Anolis sagrei: one gene and its partner. The protein of the gene in region 1 purifies or fractionates together with the protein of each later gene. This does not show direct contact. Links are inferred from orthologs where the notes say so. Each region holds a gene or a part of one and is shown in the gene's direction. Other genes may lie near its edges.

Region 1 (10,415 bases):
AAGATGAAGTATCATAGGGATGAAGATGGAAAATAAGGTTGGGGCAATAATGCACCCCTGTTTGACACAGGTAAACAAGACGGAGCTTAAAAAAGCAAAAATGCAGTTAAGGCAAGCTATCACATTACCCACAAATCTGCAAAAAAAAATGAATCATTTAAAAACCAAACTATGAAAATAAAAATATAAAAGGCTCTGCGCAAATCCTCAAATGCCTGTTTAAATAAAAAGGGTTTTACCTGCTGGCGAAAGGAGAACAGGGTGTAAGGCTTAGAGTAGCACTTTCCGACACAGAACTCCCTCCCACACAATAATTTGACCTTTCAGTTCCAATTTGCTCCTACAGTACTTCAACTGTTACTACTACTGATAATGATGATAATATAAATGGTGTTATTTTAGGTTGGGACACAATCTTCAGAGCCTAAGTAGAGCCATGTTGAATCAGTTGTAACCTTATCTAGTTGTTTTCTAATCTCACAGCAGCGCACAAGGACAAGAGCACTCTCCCACTCATGTTCTCCACAGCAAATGGCACTAGGAAGCATTTTCTTTTCAGCGAAGGATGCAATATATGGTAGCTTTTGTTGCTATATACCTCCGAGTCATTTTACAATTTATGCCGGTCAGGTCACAGGGGGTCATTGGCATGACTTGCCATTGCCTTGCTCTGAGGCTGAGAAAATGTAGCTCGACCAAGGTTACTCATGGAATCTCCATGGCAGAGCAGGGATTCTAATACAGGTCTCCCAGAATCTTAGTCCAGCACTCCAAACCACACAACACACCAGTTCTCTGAAGCCAGCTAGCTTTACCTAGCTGGACCTGGGATTGCTGCTCCTCCAAAAGGGAGCTGTGATGTGGCATCCCACAAGGGGTCAATCTATCCTCAATGCTTTTTAACATTTACATTAAACCACCGGGAGAGATCATCCGGAGGCATGGGGTGGGGTATTATCAGTCTGTTGACACCCAAATATATTTCTCCATGCCTTTCTAAACAGTCTCAGCTAAGGATAACACGTCTCCTCTGAATGCCTGGAGGAGGTAATGGGCTGGATGAGGAAAAACACATTGAAATTGAATCAGACCAAGCAGAGGGGCTTCCCATCAAGGGTCCTAATTTGGGGATGGAGGTGTGTCAACCAGTTCTGGATGTGGTCCTATGCCCCCTGAAAGACTTGTGTTTCTAGCTTGAGACAAGGGCTCCTGAGTCAGCCCCAGTAGATCAGGAGTGCTTACTACTAGCTTTGGCTGATCTGCCAGCTGCGCCTCCTAGATGTGGAGGACCTAAAGATGGTGGGGCATGCACTGGTCACCTCAAGGCTGGACTTCTGCCATGTGCTTTACGTTGGGCTACATCTGTACCAAGTTTGGAAACTCCAGCCAGTTCAAAATACAGCACCTAGATTATGGGAACATCTAGGAGTAAGCTTATTATACATATTTTAAAGTCACTTCACTGGTTGCCAATTAGTTTCTGAGCAAAGTACAAAGGGTTGGTTTTGACCTTTAAAGGTCTACATGGTTTGGGTCCAGGCTACCGACAGAACCGCCACCCAGAGGACCCTTTTCAATGGCCGCCCAAGAAGATTATAGAAGGACATGCCAAAGGAAGAGCACCCACAGCTCAATGAGCTGTCGAAATTTAAAACACATCCGAAGACCCATTCTTCCAGCAGGCCTACCCAGCCAGTTTTAATCACAAATTTTAAACTTTTGTTTAATTTTTTTCTGTGCATTTTAATAGGTAATTTGTAGAAATATGTTTTAATATGTGTATTTTATATAATGCTTTATATGATTATGTGTTTTTAGTGAAGTTGTAACTCACCTCAAGCTACGAGGAGTGGCAGGGAAGAAATAAAATTATTATTATTATTACCTCCCATTATAGCTTTATCTTCCATTGAATTGTCTCCTTTCCTGTGAAAAGTTCGGTCAACTTTAGATTTGGTTTGGTTATTTGTGGTGCTGATTCAGAAAATTGCATTGGATAGACCACATCAGCTCTGATACAGAACATATGCCACCCAGTAGTCACCATCTGTTCACTTACAGAAAACCATATTTAATAATCTAGAGCTGATGTGGTAGTAGTAATCTTTCATGGGTAGTCAGCCTCTCCCCTCCCGACATCTCAGTTGCCTCAGCACAATAAGAGGGTTTTGCAAGACCAGTTGCTCTCGTTGTTGCATGGTTTCGAGGCAACAGTGTAATAATGGTAAGGCTGCGGACCATCCTTTCATTCTTGGGGACCTATGGTGGTCTACGGACCACAGGTTGGGAATCACTAATCTTGGAGGAATGAGATCCAAAATTATTGCACAACCAATACTGAATATTGAAGCTCAGAAAAACATTGCTACCCTCAGTAAACCCAGCTCATTGAAATGGCTAAGTCGTTTTAAACATACTTTTCAAACAGCCCAATATCTAAAGAGAGAGATGCCTAAACACCTCAGGAGGGTATTTACCACAACTAGATTTGAACAGCTGAACACAATGGTCAAACATGGAAGGTTCAACCAAGTTCCATATAATGAACAATTTTGTATCCATGAAGCATCAGACATAGAAGGTATCACACGTGTACTTTTTAGCTGCAACTTGTATAAGACAGAAACCAATTCCCCGGATCACACAATTCCCGGGATCATAATTATGTGGCCAGACATCACTGGCCACAAAATTAATTTTAAATATTGTACATGAATTTTGGTGGTTTTTACATATTGTTTTTATGTTTTTATTTTAGGTATAATTTTAATTGTTAGGTGATGTTATTATTTAATTCTAGGTTGTGTGTTATTGTTATCATTTGGTTTTAGATGTGGGTTTATTCTGGGATTCTGCTGTTTGTTTATTGTATTTGTATCTATTGTTTTATCAAGGCCTTAAATTTTTGCCTTTTTACTTTGTTGGAATCCGCCCTGCGTCCCCCTGGGGAGATAGGACGGAATACAAATAAAGTTTATTATTATTATTATTATTATTATTATCATTATTATTATTATTCATTATACAAAGGACACACTGGAGTCCTTATATTAAAACTACATTTTATTGGCCAGCCAGAATGCTAAAGTAGCATACAAAACAGCTCTTTTTTAGATATAAAGCAACTCTGCTGAGAACTGCATATTTGGAGTCGATTGGGGTAAATTGTAGGGGTGATGCAGATATTGGATCTGGATCTAGATCCCTTGTTAAAAGCTTGTTTATTTTACCTTTTGTAATGTGGGTTGTAGGCTGTATGTGTATGTGTCAAGCGTGTTTGTCAAGTGTTTTGATATGGACAATGGGCTAATCAATAAAACGTACCACTTTTTTAAAGTAAAAAAAACCATTTTAAAGTTTGTTTTTTGCTGATTTTTTTCATCCTGTAAAATGGTGTTCCACGCTGACAGGGAGAAAAGCAGGATAAGAAGAACACCAACCCTGCACCTCAGGAAAAAAACAAAGTTTTAAAAAACCAAAAATGGATTATCTAGGTCCATCCAAGTCTGGTTTCAGGCCTGGCTACAGGACTCAGATGGCATTTGTCGCCTTGGTCGAGGATCTGCGAAGAGAACTAGATAGGTGGACTTCTCAGCGGCGTTCGATACCATCAACCATGGTATCTGGACTGCCTCAATGGAATGGAAATTGGAGGCACTGTTTTCAGTGGTTCTGTTCCTTCCTAAAGGGTCGGGTGCAGAAGGTGGTGCTGGGGGACTCCTGCTCGACCCCATGGTTTTTGTCTTATGGGGTCCCACAGGGTTCAATACTGCCCCCATGTTGTTTAACATCTACATGAAACCATTGGGAGAGATCATCAGGAGTTTTGGAGTTTGGTGCCATCTGTACACAGATGACACCCAACTCTATTACTCTTTTTCACCTGATGCCAACGTTGCTGTCCTGATCCTGAACCAGTGCCTGTCAGCTGTGATGGACTGGATGAGGACAAACAAGTTGAAACTGAATCCAGACAAGACAGAGATACTACTGGTCAGTCATAGGGCTGATTGGGGTCTTGGGCTGCAACCTGTGCTGAATGGGGTCACACTTCCCCTGAAGGCACAGATTCACAGTCTGGGGGTCCTTCTGGACTCATTGCTGACCCTGGAGGGCCCGGTGTCAGCGGTGGCTTGGAGGGCCTTCACACAGTTAAAGCTTGTGTGCCAGCTGCACCCATACCTTGAAAAGTCCAATCTGGCCATAGTAGTACACACCTTAGTCACATCCAGGTTAGAGTACTGTAATACACTGTACGAGAGAGGCTGCCCCAGAAGTGCGTTCAGAAACTTATCTGGTTCAAAGGTCAGCGGCCAGGCTGCTTATGGGGACAGGATATAGGAAAAGAACTACTCTGCTCCTGAAGCAGCTACACTGGTTCCCAGTTTGTTTTCAGGCACAATTCAAGATGCTGGTTTTAGCGTATAAAGCTCTAAACCAGGCATGGGCAAATTTGGCCCCTCTAGGTGTTTTGGACTTCAAGTCCCACAATTCCTAACAGCCTTGGGCCCTTTCCTTTTCCTCAGCCGCTTAAGTGGAAAAGGAAAGGGAAAAGGAAGGGGCCTGAAGCTCTTAGGAACTGTGGGAGTTGAAGTCCAAAACACTTGAAGGGCCCAAGTTTGCCATGTCTGCTCTAAACAGTTCGGGCCCAGTCTATTTGAGAGATCGCATCTCCTCCTACGAACCCACACAAGCCTGACATCATCAAGAGAGGCCCTTCTCTCTGTCCCACCACTGTCACAATGTGATTGGTGGGATCTTGAGAGAGGGCCTTCTCGATGGTGGCCCCGCAGCTCTTGAACTCCCTTCCTAGAGAGGAGCAATTGGCCCCCTCCTTACTGGCTTTTTGTACCCAAATGAAAACCTTTTTGTGGGACCAGGCCTTTCCTGACCCCCTAAAATAGGTAATGGCCAAACAGCTGTGGTTATGTCCATTTAGAAGCTATTTTAGACCTGGCAATGTTTTCATACGACCGAAAGAAAAATGGAGTTTTGACGAGCTTAACTCAATTGTTTTTACAGGCGAACTCAGCTGTCTGAGGTTTAGGCAATTTTGAATGGATAGATATTGTAATTTATGAATTTGGTTGAAATATATGGTATGCATTGTGTTATTCTTCGATTGGTTTGATGGTGTTTTTTGTTGAATGCGTATGTTATGCTTCTTTTGACTGTTTTAGTCTTGTATGTCGCTTTGAATCCCACCCATGGCAGAAATGTGGGATCAAAAGAAATAAAGTTTCGGCCGAGAGAAGAAGGCCAAAGCGTGGCCAAAGGTGTCCTAAGTGGTGGGCTGAAGTGCTCCTCCGAGGGAGGTCGGCCTTCCTTCCTCCCCTCAGCACGAGCCACACAAAAAGGAAGGGAGGGAGGGGAGGCAGGCAGGCAGGCTGGCCAGCCCCTTGACCTGGAAAGAACTCCCTCTCGACTAGCACAGGGGGGGCTGAAAGAGAGAGGCCAACAGCCATCAATGTCACGTCAGGAGAGGCGAGGGACAGCTCCCTTCCCCCAATTCTGGGGAAAACATTCTGGGGGAAAAAGCCCGCCCGCTAACGCCTGAGACACTTCCTTTAGATTAAAACAAAAAAAAAAAAACCTTTGGTTTCGGCGCCCGCCCGCGTCCACTCCTTCCAGCCGGCGCCGTTTCCCAAGCGGCGGACGAGAAAGCTCCATCAGCGCTGCCGCAAAATCAACGCGCGGGCGGGCAATGAAAAAAAAGAGAAAAGACTTCAGGGATGTCTATTAGCCGGCCTTCATTCCGCTCCTCCTCTGCCGGCTTGTGGCGAAATCTCAGCCGCGTCGGGCTGGGGGAGTGACGTCACGAGGAGGGGCCGCCTCCTCCTCCTCCTCTTCCTCCTCCCCACCTCCCTCCGCCGCTGCCGCTTCCAAGCTCTCGGCCAATGAGCGTCGTCCACATGCCGCGGCGGCGAGAGGGGCAGCGGCGAGGTGGCTCCAATAAATTCTATTAGAGCGGACGAGGCCGGCTCAGCGAGGGAGGGAAGGAGGGACAGACAGAGAGAGAGAGAGAGAGAGAGGAAGGAAGCGAGGGAGAGAGCGAGAGAGAGAGGACGGAAGCGGCACCCAACGTTGCTCAGCTCGCTCTTCCCTCGAAGGAAGGGCAGCCGCGTCTTGGCGCCTGCCTGGCAGCGGCCTCCATCTCCTCCAGCCGAGCTCAAGTCCTGTCAGGGGCAGCGGCTCTTCCTCCTTGAGGGAGCTCTTCCCTTCCCTCTCCGCCCGGCTCGCCCGCTTGGGCACCCCCCGCATGGTGGCCAGGCCCAGGGCTTGGGGGGCTCCGTGAGGGGCGGGAAAGCGAGGGGCCCGCGAGAGGAGAGAGCCAGAAGAGGCAGAGAGCGGAGGGAGGAGAGCCAGTCCCTCTCGCCGCCGCCCGCCAGAGGAGGAGGAAGGAGGAAGCGCCCTTTGGGAAGAGGAGAGAGCCTTCCCGGCACCATGGAGAACGCGCACACCAAGACCGTGGAGGAAGTGCTGGCTTACTTCGGCGTCAACGAGAGCACCGGGCTCAGCTTGGAGCAGGTCAAGAAGCTCAAGGAGCGCTGGGGCGCCAACGGTAAGGCTTCCAGGGGGAGATGCCCCGAGGGAAGGAGGGCGGGGAGGAGATCCTCTCCATCCCCTTGAAGCCCCCCCCCCCATCCCTCCCCCTTCTCCTCTGGGCCCGGCTCCACCAGCAGGACCCGGGGGGGAAAAGGGACGAGGAAGGAGTGGAGGAGGAAAAGAAAAAAGAAAAAAAAGAAAGATGGCTGACGGTGCGAGCCACCTCGTGGGTTTCCCTTCCTCCCCGCCTCGGGGCCACTTGCCCCACTCGCCTGCCAGCCCCACGCTTGCCTTCCCTCCCGGCCTTTTCCGAGGCCCTCTCCCGAGACTCAGGCCACCCCTTTTTTGGATTCTTCTTGGCCTCCTCCTCCTCCTCCTCTCAGCCCCTTCTTCCTGTTCGACGTCGTTCTCAATGTCTTTTCCAAAGGGCAAGCAAACAAACATATCCCTGATGATGTGTTGGAGAACCCTCTTTCAAGGAGGGAAAGGATGGGGAATTATTCCATATAGGCGTATTGCTATTATTTATTCTGCCCCCCCCCCCCGCCGCCTTTCAAAGAAGGAGTGTATCACAGGACAGGAGAATGGGGAATTATTCCACATAGGCATATTGCTAATTATCATTATTCCCCCCTCCTTTCAAAGGGATTCAATCACAGGACAGGAGGATGAGGAATTATTCCATATAGGCATATTGCTAACTCATTTCTTGTGCACCCCCCTTTCAAAGGGACTCAATCATAGGGCAGGAGGATGGGGATTTTTTCCAAATAGGCATATTGCTAACTATCATTTATTCCCCCCCCCCTCCCTTCAAAGAGGGTATATATTACAGGGCAGGAGGATGGGGAGTTATTCCATATAGGCATATTGCTAACTATCATTTCTTTTGCCCCCCCCCCCCTCTCAAAGAGGGACTCAATCACAGGACAGGAGGATGGGGAATTATTCCACATGGGCATATTGATAACTATCTTTTCACCTGCTCCCCCCTTTCAAAGAGGGACTAAATCACAGGACAGGAGGATGGGGAATTATTCCACATAGGCATATTGATAACTATCATTTCATCTCCCCCCCCCCCTTTCAAAAAGGGACTCAATCATAGCAGAGGAGGATGTAGAGTTATTCCACATAGGCATATTGAGAACTATCATTTCTTCTGCCCCCTTTCAAAGGGATACCCAATCACAGAACAGGGGAGTTATTCCACATAGGCATGTTGCTAACTCATTTCTTATGCCCTCCCCCCCCCCCTTTCAAAGAGGGACTCAATCATAGAGCAGCAGGATGAGGTTATTCCATATAGGCATATTGCTAATTATCAACCCCCCCCCCCCCCACTTTCAAAGAGGGACTCAATCATAGGGCAGGAGGATGGGACATTATTTCATATAGGCATATTTCTAATTATCTATTCTTCTCCCTCCCCTTTCAAAGATGGACCCAATTATAGGGCAGGAGTATGGGGAGTTATCCCACATAGGCATAATTTCTTCTGTCCCTTCTCCTTTCTGGGAAAAAATTAAAGGTGGAGGCATGTCAATCCATGTTTGGTTGTGACCTAGAGAGAAAGTGGGGACAGGGAAGTGCTCGAAACCTTTGAACTGCATTAGAAGTTATGGTTAGCAGCAGTGATGACTTGGCTGAATTGGTAACCTCATTACTTTGATGCTGAAGCATACTACAATATAGGAAGCACGAGGCTTTCTCTGCCTGTGTCATTGTAAGAAGCATTTGCGTTGTGTGTGATGTTTGATTTAATGTAAATGTTTGTCAGTATCTAAGATAAATGATTGCTACCCTTATTTTAAATATCTTTGTCTTGATTCCTCCCCCCCCCCCCCCCATGCCTTCTGGAAACCTTCGCCTCATAAAGAATTACCAGCTGAAGAAGGTAAGCAAGCTCTTGAAATATGTGTGCTCTTTATGCCATCCCCTTTACTGGTATTTCATTGACAACTTTTATTTGCATTTTATATTGGCAGGAAAAACTTTACTTGAGCTTGTGATCGAACAGTTTGAAGATTTGTTAGTTAGAATTTTGTTGCTGGCGGCATGCATATCTTTTGTAAGTATCTTCTTATATCTATACTTTCCCACATTTATGTTAGAAGTTTCTCAAAAATAGTTAAAATTAAAGGTGCAATATGACCCCCCCCCCCCCCAAAAAAAAAAATTAGCCTTAGGTTGAGCATCAAGTTTCCTGTCTGGAAAAATAACCTCTCAATTTTAGGACAAGGCATTGTTTCTCAAAGCAAGTTCAATATTAGTGAACATTGGTTTAATGCAAAGGTGCGCTTAGAATGGGGTTGAGTTTACATACCGGTTAAACCAGATGTGTGCAATGCTAGTTTTGGATAAATATTTTCATCTGTCTTATTGAGTTTGTGATATTTGAGACAGGTTCTTCAGTGCTTTTTCTTGCCTTTTAACCTTGCCCCCAATAAGAAGGTGAACTAGCATTCTTTTTGCAGTTGATTGTTATGAAACTCACAGGGACTGCTGGCTGTCTTTTTTTGGATGCAATGCAAACTGTAAATAGAATTTGCATGGGGGGAGTATTCCAGTTGCCTTCTCTTGCTGATAATAGCAAGGTGACAGTTGTTGCTCTTGACAGTGACAAGAATGATGACAGCAGTGATGGCACCATTGTTGACCAAATTTGGTAACTGACCTTTGGGGAGCCTCTTGTAAAATAAACTCCTTGCCTTGCATTCTGAATTGGTAGATGAGACTGTAAAACTAGTTCTGGGGTCTTGATTTTTTAAAGAAAGAAAGTAATGAAGTGAGCTAATGTTGCATGGTGCCAAACATGTGATTGCGGAGGAATGATACATATGAAGAAAGATCAAAATAGAATAGGGGGCGGTTAAGGCATTCACATTCCGACATATTGAAAAAGAAATAACTACAGATTTCTTTTTAAAAAGCAATAAAGTTGGAGCTGAAATGTCATGCAGAGATGTGCATGATGCACCTGAACATGTATTGTTTGATTGTAAGAGGCCCAGGTTCAAATACCTGCTGTATCCTTAAGGCTCATATTGGCCAAGGGTATCTTGCTACCTGTCTACTTGATAAGGATGGTGTAAAGGGGGAGATTGAGATGAATAATATCCATAGCTTTGTACAATGAAAAGTGGGCTGGGATTTGGAAGACTCCCTGAGCACATCTAAGCATGTGCCATTGTGCTTCATGCACAGAATAAATGATAGATTGCTGGAAATGCCAACAGCATTTCAGCAAGACTGAGAAGCTGTGATGGTAGATGGAGGTTGAGAAGTCCTTTTTCACATTCAGCAGCCCTGGCTCATATGGAATTTCTACCTTGGCTCTCCTCCAGGTGCTGCTGATATATGGCAGCTTTCTAAGTAACCTCACAATGTAACCCAGTCTTGTTTTACCATTAGAAGAGGTATTAAGTTGGTGGGGATATGCTGAACGATAAAAATGCGGGAGAGAAGGGTCATCACTTGTACAGTTATGTGGTGTAGTATGTTGCTAATTCTTGCCCAGTGAAGGTTTCAGATGTCATGACGCTGGCATGCTATTTCAAAGAAATGAAGCTTCAATTCTAGTACATGTGCATCACTGTAGCCAGCCAAAAGTTGGCACTGTTTCTTCATGTGAAAACGGGCAGCTTAGTCATTCTGATTTTTTTTTCATTACCAAGGAGAACTGTGTTGTGATGGAGTTACCATTTTTTGAATGAATGAGCAGCTTGTTCTATGGGGCATCTGTTTAAGTGTGAGTTGAGATTTATATATTTTGGAGACCAGTAGAGAGTGATGGGAAATAAAGGTTTGTACATGCTCATGTATTTGTAATTTGAATGGTAATAGGAAGTAGAATTAGTAAGCAAACT
Region 2 (10,772 bases), on another chromosome or scaffold:
GAGCAGGTTGTGGCTCCCACAGCAGCTGAAGCAGAGACCAATGGGACCCCGTGATATCCAGCATATAAGATGACTCCCCATTTTGTATATTATTTATGGGGTTCAAAAGTCGTCTTGTACACCAGAAAATACGGTAGAATAGAATACTGCCCCCACACTGAAATAAGAACCACTTATTCTGTTCATGTAGTATGAAAAGAGACATTTATATTGCTTTAGGCCGAAACCTGATGTATTCTCCACCTTAGCCTCCATGAATATTAATTAAACATTCCAGCTATTATCCTCTATGCACCTAACTAGGAATAAAGCTCATTTAAATCGGGGTGGGATGGTACATTTGAATTAACATGTGAAATATTACATTTTAGTGTTTTATTGTTTACTGAACTGAGCAGAGTTACACTTGACAAAAGTTTAAATCCTATCTATCCTTACTTGAGAGTAAGAATTACACCATCCCTGAGATATAAATGAGGGAAAGGATAAATGAGGGAGAGGACTCCCACAAGGTAGTGTGTGTGCGTGGGGAGGGGTGGGTCAAACGTGGGTTTTGTTCAACCATCAACAGTACTCTGCCCGTAACTACAGCCAAATACTTGTCTTCATTGCCTCGTCCAGCAATGAAGTTATGGATTTCTATTCCCCTTAAACAATGGGCAATGGTTATGGTAACTTCAGAAAACTACTAGTAGTTACATCAGTCTTCATCAACCTCTTACCCTACAGATGCAATCCTACCATGCCTGATGAGGATTGTTAGGGCTTGGTAAGATCTGTAGCCAAAAAAAAAAAGACTAAAAAGGATAGGTATGTTTTTTCCCTTTTCCTAGGTGTACATGCAGCCCAGTGAAGAATAGTTAATTGTGCATATCAATTTATTTTAGCCTGAAAGGCTCAGAGCATGTAATACTTAACTTGGAGTGACCAGTTAAGTCTTAAAAGGCTATGCTTCCTGAGAATTATTCAACATAGCTGGACAAAACTAGAATGCTCTCTTTGTAAAAATGTTAACTATGGTTTAAAAACTCTAACAGTTTGAGTGACAAATGTGATCTTTGGCCTGTAGTCTATAATTGCTGTTAAAGTGGAGATAATCCAGCTCCAAAATTCTTGGTTACTAGAAGAGTACCCCAACTGGCTTTCCAGCCTTTTATCTCCCCTTCATATGCCTTTGCCTCTGCGTTCATCCAGCACTCATAACATGTCAAAGAACACAGCTAATCTCACTGCTTCCTGGAACAGTTTATCAGAAGAACACTCAACACAGCTCTGAAGTTACAAGCCTCTTAGCACATCAACTAGTGCTGTTTTGCCAAATATGTGATGTTTTCTACAGCAACATTTTACACCACAGTTGGGAGTAGAAGAGGATTGTGAATTCATATTGTTCAGTTCATGCAAACAATCAAGTGTTCAACTTTGTTTCTACAAGTTTTCTAAACAGGGACAAAGAAATCCAAATGCTATTAAAATGTAGAATTAGCCAGCAACGAGGTAAAATTTAATAGATTCCTGACTCTCAAATGCACAAGGAGTCCTGAACTGATTTCCAAAGCACTTTTCTATTCTCATAATTCTGATTACAAGTTAATTATATCCTTTCTATATATGAATTCTATAATGATTATCTCAATCTTGCCATGATTACACATGTTCAAACATTAATTGCTGTAAATAAAACACATATTTAATGAACAGAAAAGGGGGATTATGAAGCATTGAGCACAAAAAGATCACATATATCACATACACATAAAATAATTACACAAACAATCAAAGTTTATTTGAAAACCAAACTTATCAGAAAACTTCTGGAAAAGTATTGCTTAATATCAATTTCCAGCTTCACAATAAAACAGAGTACTGATGATTTTCAGTGTTTTCTTCTCTTTTTTGCTACAGGGGGAAGAAATATTATGTTTGCATATTATCTTTCACATTCTTTCAAATCTAGTCCAGGGTATAGAACAAAGAATTAATAGCATTCTCACACTCTAGCATAACATTCTAAATTTGGTCTTATTTGTTATTAGTCAACGAAATGTTCTGGTTGTGTTCCCAGTGAATATTTTCCTTTTTTCTAAAGCAATAAATTGTTGTGCTTTTTTAAAAAAGAAAGGCAACTTTAAATAAACCAAGGATCTCATCAGGAAAGCAGCCTGGAAAAGAAATGATAGAACCAAATAAGAAAACTCAGACACAGCTAAAAATCCAATCCCAAGACCATCTTTAAAATTGCCTCTTTTCAGAATATTGATAATAATACTTATTATTTTTCAGGTGCTTAATTTGTCAAACAGCAACCACTTATGTAAACTGAAGCAGACTTAACGTTAAACATGCCTTCACCTGAATAATACCGTTATTACAGTCTCATGAGGTAGGCTGCTTTTTCCTCCTGTGCTTAAGGCAGGTCTCAATTCCGTAACAGACACAAATACATGAAACTGCTTATTCTGATGCACCAAGAAATTCTTAAGTTGATTATAAGGCTTCTAATCCATATTGATATTCTTCAACATGTGATGCGAAGGGTTTAAGCCTACAAAAACAGCTTGTCTTTATGGCTCCCACAACAAGCACTTAAATTTGAACACTGGTGCCGCAAACCAGAGGTCTTGGGCATACAGAGAGAACAGCAACTTCTAGGTGTGGAATCACAACATTCTGAGTGGAGTAATGTGATACTAAATGTTTGCTGTAATTATGCCAAATATGTTTCAATAACAAGGTACAAAAAGACTTCCTTCTTACATGTGATCTTCAGTTTTCTACCAGATCTCTAAATAAATAAAGAGAAGCATCTCCAGTGGTAGATTCCTAATCCCTCTGGAGAAAGCCCAGATCATTTCCATTTAAGGCCATGTAAGCAGCAGCTGCACATATTTGTCCCTTGAAGAAAAAGGAAACCGACCCAAAGTTTACACACATATACTGTTTATATATATGCAAGCATTCAAAGTCATTTAATAATTTTCTGTTTTTTCCCAAGAAATTAAATGTATGACATCTTTTCTGAATTCATGACTCATCTTCAGAAAGTTGTTTTCTCTCTTTTCCATAAAATGTAGGCTATACACACATACCTTTTGCAAATAGCAAATGTAGTCACGGATGGGGAACATTTATTTGCAATCTACTCCAGGAAGTAGGTCTGGATAAAACATTAACATTATATGTCAGGTGATAAGAGAATAGTTATGCAAGCTGATGTTATGAAATATTTACAACACAGGCATATGTCAGTAAACAAAGTCCCTGACAAAGAAACGACTTTTTACAAAGTTGTTTTATGCCTGCCCAGCCCCTATTCTTCCTTGTCCTCTGCCCAGTGAAAAGTTTTTTAGTAGCCCTGGAAATGGGAATGACAGCTGGAAAAACAAAACTTTTACTGTTGGGTTCCAGAATCATATCTGTAGTAAACAATGCAATAAAGCTTGAACAATGAAGGAACAGGATTCAGCTCCACAATCCAACTGTATGCTTCCTTACAATAAGTAAGGAAAACAACACCTGCATTTGGAATTCATTCCTGGGCATACGTAAGCAGAAAAAAGAAGAAAAGAGAGAGTAGATATGCCTCACCAGCTTCTTCAAGCCTATTCAAAATGCATGAATTTATAAATTTGACTACCAGAATAGAATTTATTAGAAAAGTGGGGGCTGGTGAATAAAAAATATAATCTCTGGTTGAATTTTGGAAACAGTCTTTAGATTCCAAATGCTTTTAGAAGATTCTAAATGATTTTTTTTTAATCCGTGTAAAGGCTTACCTTGATCTGGTTGTCTTATTTCATATGTGCATATCTTTAGATCTGAATATAAAACAAGCTGAAATAAGTCCAAGCTACTTTTTTGTTGTACTGTATAGGAAACTATCCCTATTATTTCTTTGTTTTTTTTTTCTGTCTCTGGTACCAAAACCTACTCCCAACCACTGAAGGCAGACAGGGATCTTTTGGAAACCTAGGGCACCAGATCTAAGTCCTGAGAGGTCAATGCATCTTTTGAATGTTTGAATGGAGACCTACCCGTGGCTTCTCTAATCACCACAATCAACTGCAGGATGGCAAAGTGTTTCTAAAACTACAAAAAAAACCCCCCAAAAAAACAAGTAAGGTGGGTTACTAAAAAAAATTCAGCTGTAGGTGTATATCTTCATAGATTATTTAGGATCTGAAAATGCGTGGGTGTGGAAGAATGCCCTAGCAAGTTAATTTTATTGGTACAACAGCTGATAAGTAAGACAAGGTGTTACAGATCTGCAGTTGAACACTTGCAAGTTCACATGTGTATGACTGATCAATCACAAACATCATTTATTAATCTGTGAGGGAAGGCCTGGATCAAGTTACTTCTAAGTGACATAAACAGAACTGGCTGCAAGGATCATTGGTTTGAGGTCTGGCATGTAGGCATGTACATCTAGGACTGGTACTTGGGTACTATTATTTTTCACAATATGGTGAATTCAAGTCTTCTGATGTACTGATGCCTTGTGCCAACATACTAGAATATATGGCACAGCCAAACAGATGCAATCCATTTGCCAAGTTTCTGAGTCTTATGGACTAAAACATTTGCTTTGCTTCTCAGTACATCAAGGTTTCCAAGGCGATTCACAACAGATCAAAACAGATCAAAAGTTATTTAATAACAAATGAAAAGAAATGTAAAGACATGTTTTAAACACACACACAACAAAAAAGATCCCGAAGTCAACTCTGGTTTTAGGGATCAAAGGCCATACAAAACATGGCAGGCTTGGGTTGTTGGTTCAAATAAGATGGAGCCAGACTATCTTCTCATAGGAGGGAAGTGTGCAAGAGAAGTGCTACAACCAAACAAGTCCTGTCTCATATAGTCACCAACGTAGCAGTCTCCAGGTGGTGGTACATGCAAAGAATCTCCACAGAGGAACTCCTATTCTAAGCAGGCATCTAAGTTTGAAATGTGTGCATGTATTTAAGGTGTGCAGAATCACTTCAGGATGGGTGGGGGGACACTTGTTATAGGCCAGATGTTACCTAAGATCTTGGCCAGATGTTACCTAAGATCTTGGGATTCGAGCCAAAGTGCAAAATTAGATTTTGTTTCTCCTCTTTTTTCTCAGCTTATTTATTTATTTCCTATATTTATGCCCCACCCTTCTCCCCTCAAAAGGGGACTCAGGGTGGCCTAACAAAAGCATCATACAATGCTACCATCATAAAAACATTAAAATATTAAAAATTAAAACAACAATTAAAACAATTAATTAAGGCACATCCATTAAAATCGAAATCCAAAAACCAGTCCGGGTCAATTCATTGCCATAAGTTGTGTGATCTTCTTCCACTTGCTGCTCACTGATCAAACGCTTGGTCCCATAACCAGGTCTTGATTTTCCTTCTAAAAGACAAGAGGGAAGTGGCCAATCTGATATCTCTAGGGAGGGCATTCTATAGGCGGGGGACCACTGCTGAGAAGGCCCTGTCTCTTGTCCCCATCAACCGTGTTTGTGATAGTGGTGGGATCGAGAGCAGGGCCTCTCCTGAAGATCTTAAACTTCATGATGGTTCGTGGCAGGAGATACATTCGGACAGGTAGTCTGGGCCAGAACCGTTTAGGGCTTTAAAGGTTAATACTAGCACTTTGAATTGTGCTCGGAAGCTGATCGGTAGCCAATGGAGTTGGCGTAACAAAGCAGTTGTATGTTCCCTGTACGTCGCTTTGGTGAGCAACCTGGCTGCCGATCGTTGGACTAGTTGAATCTTCAAAGGCAGCCCCATATAGAGTTGGGTCAGTGTAGCCAGCTTTGCTCCTCCTATTTATTCAATGCACTATCAGTAGTCAGAGGTGATAGGAGCTGTTCTCTTTTCATTTAACTGGAGGTAGCAAGGCTTTGGGAAGACAACTCATAGCACAGATTAAGTCCTCAAGAGTATTGCCTTCCCCCCTTCATTCAAAATCACAGCAGCAGTACAGAGCCAACTGCATGGTATGGTGAACTACTGTCTTGTCCACTGAGCTATCTCATGATCACCATTAGCACCTGTAAGAGCAAAACATGTGTTTGGGTTTTTTTAATGTTCAAAATAGTTTTACAGAACAGAGGAAGTACAACTGTAGTTGTTGTGTGCCTTCAAATCATTCCTGATTTATGACAACCCTATCACAGGATTGTCTTCGCAGAATTTCTTTCATAGAAGATTTGCCCTTGCCTTTCTCGACTGAGAAAGTGTGGCTTGCCCAAGGTAATCAAGAGGGTTTCTATGGCATAGCAGGTATTTGACCCCGGTGTCCCTGCCTAACACCCAAGCCACCACACCACACTGGCTCTCAAGAAATAAGAAAAGGTATTCTAGTTTTCATCACAATTAGAACTTAAACCATAAAACTAGAAATGACTCTGTCACCACCTGTATTATTGGTAAAATCCATCATCATGTCTTTGTTCATATTTCTTTAATTTACAAGAATATAAATGGCTTTTCACCCCTTCCACTGATAGTTCAAATATTAAACATCACTGTTCTAAATGTGGCTGGCCCTGTAACGTCCCTGGTCTTATAAAGGCTCTTCTATAACCAATCAGCAGAGAAACATTCCTGAATGACATCATGAGCCCTGCCTATGAAACTTTTGTTATTTTTTCCCTCCAACAACTTCAGTTGTTCCCACAAAGCCGATGACAGAGAACGCCTTTCCATATCCCAGGAAATAGCATCATACAATTAAGTAAAACAGTTCCTGAGGTAAGAGTATTTGCTTTATTACTAACACACTAGGAGTTGTGTATTTCTAAACTACCCTATTAAATCTATAGCTTTTGTTGAGAAAAAAACAACCTGATACAAAACTCCGACCAGTTGCCTTCTATATCTCTGTAGATTTATCTTGTAACATATACAGACGTAACAAGTACTTCTAAACGGCATGTATGTCTCTGAAAAAAGAGGGAAATTGGGAAGAGGGGGGCAGGAGCATGGTATAAAAATTAAGTCAAGCTGTATTTTAGCACTTTTTTTTCCTTTAAGGAGAGCTATTAGATATCATCACATTCACAACAGCAGAAATACTTAATATTGCTCATCTTCTTTCTGGTCTCTCATTTTTTTGTTGCAAATCAATATGGTAATACATTACCTTTTTTATTAATTAATTTATTATTAAAGCATTTATATTCTACCCTTCTCACCCCAAAGGGGACTCAGAGCGGAGCACAACATATAAACGGCAAACATTCAATGCCGAAACATAACTAGACTATACACATACATAAACATTAAAATCAATTATCTCAACATTTCTTCTTGGTAACTGACTCACTTGTAGCATTAATTGTTATTGTTTGGGGATTATTATTTTTTACCACAACAATATATTTTATACAAATATTGTCTGGGATCCAGACAGTAACGTAAGGAAACCCAGATTCCCTCATGTTTCATGGATTTTTTCTTCCCCTCCCTTTGAATATCACATCTACTGCAAATAATCATATGGGAGGGATGGTATTTAAAATACAGAAGCCCAAAGGCTTTCTTGTCACACAGATCTAGTAGCCTAGATTATGGATTGTAACCAGCAGCTGCAAGTGGGAAAAATCCCAATAAAGTCACCTGGATGGAAACACTTCAGTGTTGTGCTGTCTTGCAACTAATGTCATAAACAAGCTATATATTTCAACAATTGTCTGCATACATATCATACAATATAAATTGATAACTGTATGAATAATGTATGCTTTTCTCAACCAACGAAGTGATTCATTAAAAGTGCCTCCTAATTATAAACCTAATTATAATCATAAATAAAAATAGGGAAAGCAGAAAAACTGATAAGTCTCAACAATAGAAAGGCAGGCAAGCATTTAAATCCATTTACAAAACAATCTTTATATGTGTTTGCTTGGAAGAAAGTCTGATTACATTCAAATACATGTTATTGAAATATAAAATGTATAAAGGATTGCAGCCTTGGAACAGATACATATTATTACTGGGCCAATAAAAAACTATTCTAAGAAAAAGGAAACACTGAGCATTTCTGAAACTTATCCCAATAAAATGCAAACACCTTTCTGCCCCCTGTTGCAAGATATGTGACCAGTCGCATAAATTAATGTACTGAAAGGTTACAATAAGCATGCCAGGAGTACACTACTGCTGTTACAATAGAAAACATAACTGAAAACCATTCCAAAATTATAGAATTGTTATTAAATTGTTAATTGTTATTAAAATTTCAGTGGAATATGCTTATTTTCCCCACACTTAAACTAACAAAATCTGATCCACTTCCACAAAGACATTCCTATTAAGATATAAAAGAACCAAGAAAGAATCACTGCAATGATAAAAAATTAATGTTTTGATTTCTTACCCTGATTTTTTTTTAATGGATAGCTGTTTTTTTTAAAATATCAGGGAAAGATACCAAAGCATCTCATTTTCTCAGATGGTGATGGGTAAAATCTGAGCCAATGCTTATTCTGAGCCAAGATCTATTCTTTCCTAGGTAGTCCCTGTGAGCTAGCTCAACATTTTAACAACTTTTAGTAGGTGTGTAGAAAACAAATCACTCTGAAGCTTTTCTCTTTGGAAAAAAAACCCAAAAAATCCTCCCTGTTCTTATTTTATCATGATGACACAAAGTGTTTTTCTACAGTCACATGAAAACTACAGCTTTCCCCTAAACCACTACGATTTTCTCTTAGGAATTTACGTCAGCTTCTTTTATTATTGTATTTCACCTTCTTTTTAGGTGTGCCACTTGAGTGCCCTCAGTCCCGTTCCCCACAAGTCCTCACATCTTTCTGTTATCAAACTTTGCCTCCACAACCACACTGTTTTTGTTGTTTTTTTTACAACAGTCTTCTGAAATATCCCCCTGTTACTTCAATTTTATTAAGCTTTTTACCTCTGTTTATTTCCTGTCCCTTATAACTGATGCTTCCACGGTGCTCATGGTGATGCGTTTTCCCAAAGAATTACCACCAGGCTCTTGACTGAACATCTCTTGCTCATCCCAACTGATCTAACTAGTGCCACTGCTTACATGAAAATTAATCATGTTTGTTGTCATTTATACAACACAGATGGGAGTCAGATAACCTGGGAATATACAATTAGGGAATTGCTAGGAAAGAAGAGTTACTTTTTTTCAAATTACAGTACACGCAGACCTCTGTATCCATAGATTCGGTATCCACAAATTTGACCACCCACACTTTGAAAACATATAAAAAGATTCAACCATCAGTAGCTTGAAAAATATATATAAAAAGAAATCCAAACAGCAGACTCTGATTCTGCCATTTTATATAAGGTACATAACTGTATATAATGGGATTTGAGCATCCACGGATTTTGGTATACGCAGGGATCCTGGAACTAAACCCTATCAGACACCAAGGGTCCATCATATGCTGAACCGTTATTATAGTAGTAGTTAGACCATAGGTCTTTCACATATAGGACAAACAAATACATAAAAACCAGATTATTAAATACAATATAAAATACACCATTAAAGACTATTTAAACCATTAAAATGCTATATCTATCAATGAGTTCTATCCTTTACAATCTGCTGCTTTGGGACAGCATTAGCAGTACACTGGGGACCTCTAGTGGTATATTGGGACACTATTAACTAAGATCTTGCTTGGAAGAAAACTATCTAAGAAAACAAGGAGTCTTGTGGCACCTTAAAGAGGGAAAAAGTTATCTTTGGCATAATCTATTGTGAAACATGTTTTCCCAGGATCTCATACTGTTCTCTACACTTCCCTTCCTTTCAACACCAGTGACCCCTTTATTGTTTTAAAAAAAACATTTCTTTTTCTATCCTAACCACCACCCTTGAAAAAAGTTTGACTTGGCAGTAGTTTTTGTGGGTTGCAATCCATGGAAACATATGAAAAATAAGGTCTGACATTCTTTAAAAGGGCCACAAGATTCTCTGCCTGTTTTGTTAACCTAACACAGTTCCTGATGGTCTAGCCCTCATTGGAAATTTCTTGTAAAACAATTTTATTTTTCCAAAACAAAAGTGACATCACTGAAATCTTAGACATTTTAGAATGTTTTATAAATTCAACAGGTTTGTCTTCTTATTTACTTAACAGCATTTCTGCCCCAAATTGGATAAACTGCTTTCACCTCAAAACTAAAGCTTTTGGGGTACTTCAAAAATACAACCTAAAACCATAGCATACATTAATATAATTAAAAAAGATGAATTATAAAGCAGATTAAAACAGCCGAATGATAAAATGAAAGAATATATACATTTAAAAAGGGACAAAAATATTTCAGCTGGGTACAACATGATCTGTTATAAAGTGCCTTTAATGGTCGGGGCTCCACAGGCAGCACACTGCTTCACTGTGAATATCCAACACATTATGGTTTTATGAGTGAATTGACTTTATGTTTAAGTTGTGTTTTTGGAAAACACAAGCTAAGGATTCCAAGTCCATCACTGCTTTGTGTTTTGAGCATATGTTGATCTAAATTCTTGAACAAATCCAGGGGTAATGATCCCATGCAGGGAATGAAATGTCCTCTGTCAAGGAGTGCCATGGGAGTGGACAGAAAGATGAAAGAAAAAAAATAGGGTGTGAATCCAGAAGCAATATATTTTTGAAGTGCTGGCTCCAGCAAGGTGGTCAGCATAAAGAGGATCACATGTTCAAAATATTATGTTTCTGTTACAAAATATAGTGTTCACAAGATGAAGCAGAAATAGTATGGCTTCTTATTTTGGCCTTTCCTTGCCAA

The links.
Region 2: the proteins of ATP2A2 (region 1) and PLN purify together in Homo sapiens (affinity purification with western blotting; 4 studies listed by BioGRID). This does not show direct contact. The link is inferred for Anolis sagrei from reciprocal best matches to the Homo sapiens genes ATP2A2 and PLN.

Annotation. Positions count from the first base shown.
Region 1 is NC_090034.1:42,453,671-42,464,085, reverse strand, and holds the start of ATP2A2 (sarcoplasmic/endoplasmic reticulum calcium ATPase 2), read left to right. Parts: upstream 1-5,879; 5' UTR 5,880-6,444; coding exon 6,445-6,562; intron 6,563-8,425; coding exon 8,426-8,443; intron 8,444-8,534; coding exon 8,535-8,617; intron 8,618-10,415.
Region 2 is NC_090021.1:89,032,790-89,043,561, reverse strand, and holds the start of PLN (cardiac phospholamban), read left to right. Parts: upstream 1-6,643; 5' UTR 6,644-6,740; intron 6,741-10,772. UniProt on the Homo sapiens protein: Reversibly inhibits the activity of ATP2A2/SERCA2 in cardiac sarcoplasmic reticulum by decreasing the apparent affinity of the ATPase for Ca(2+).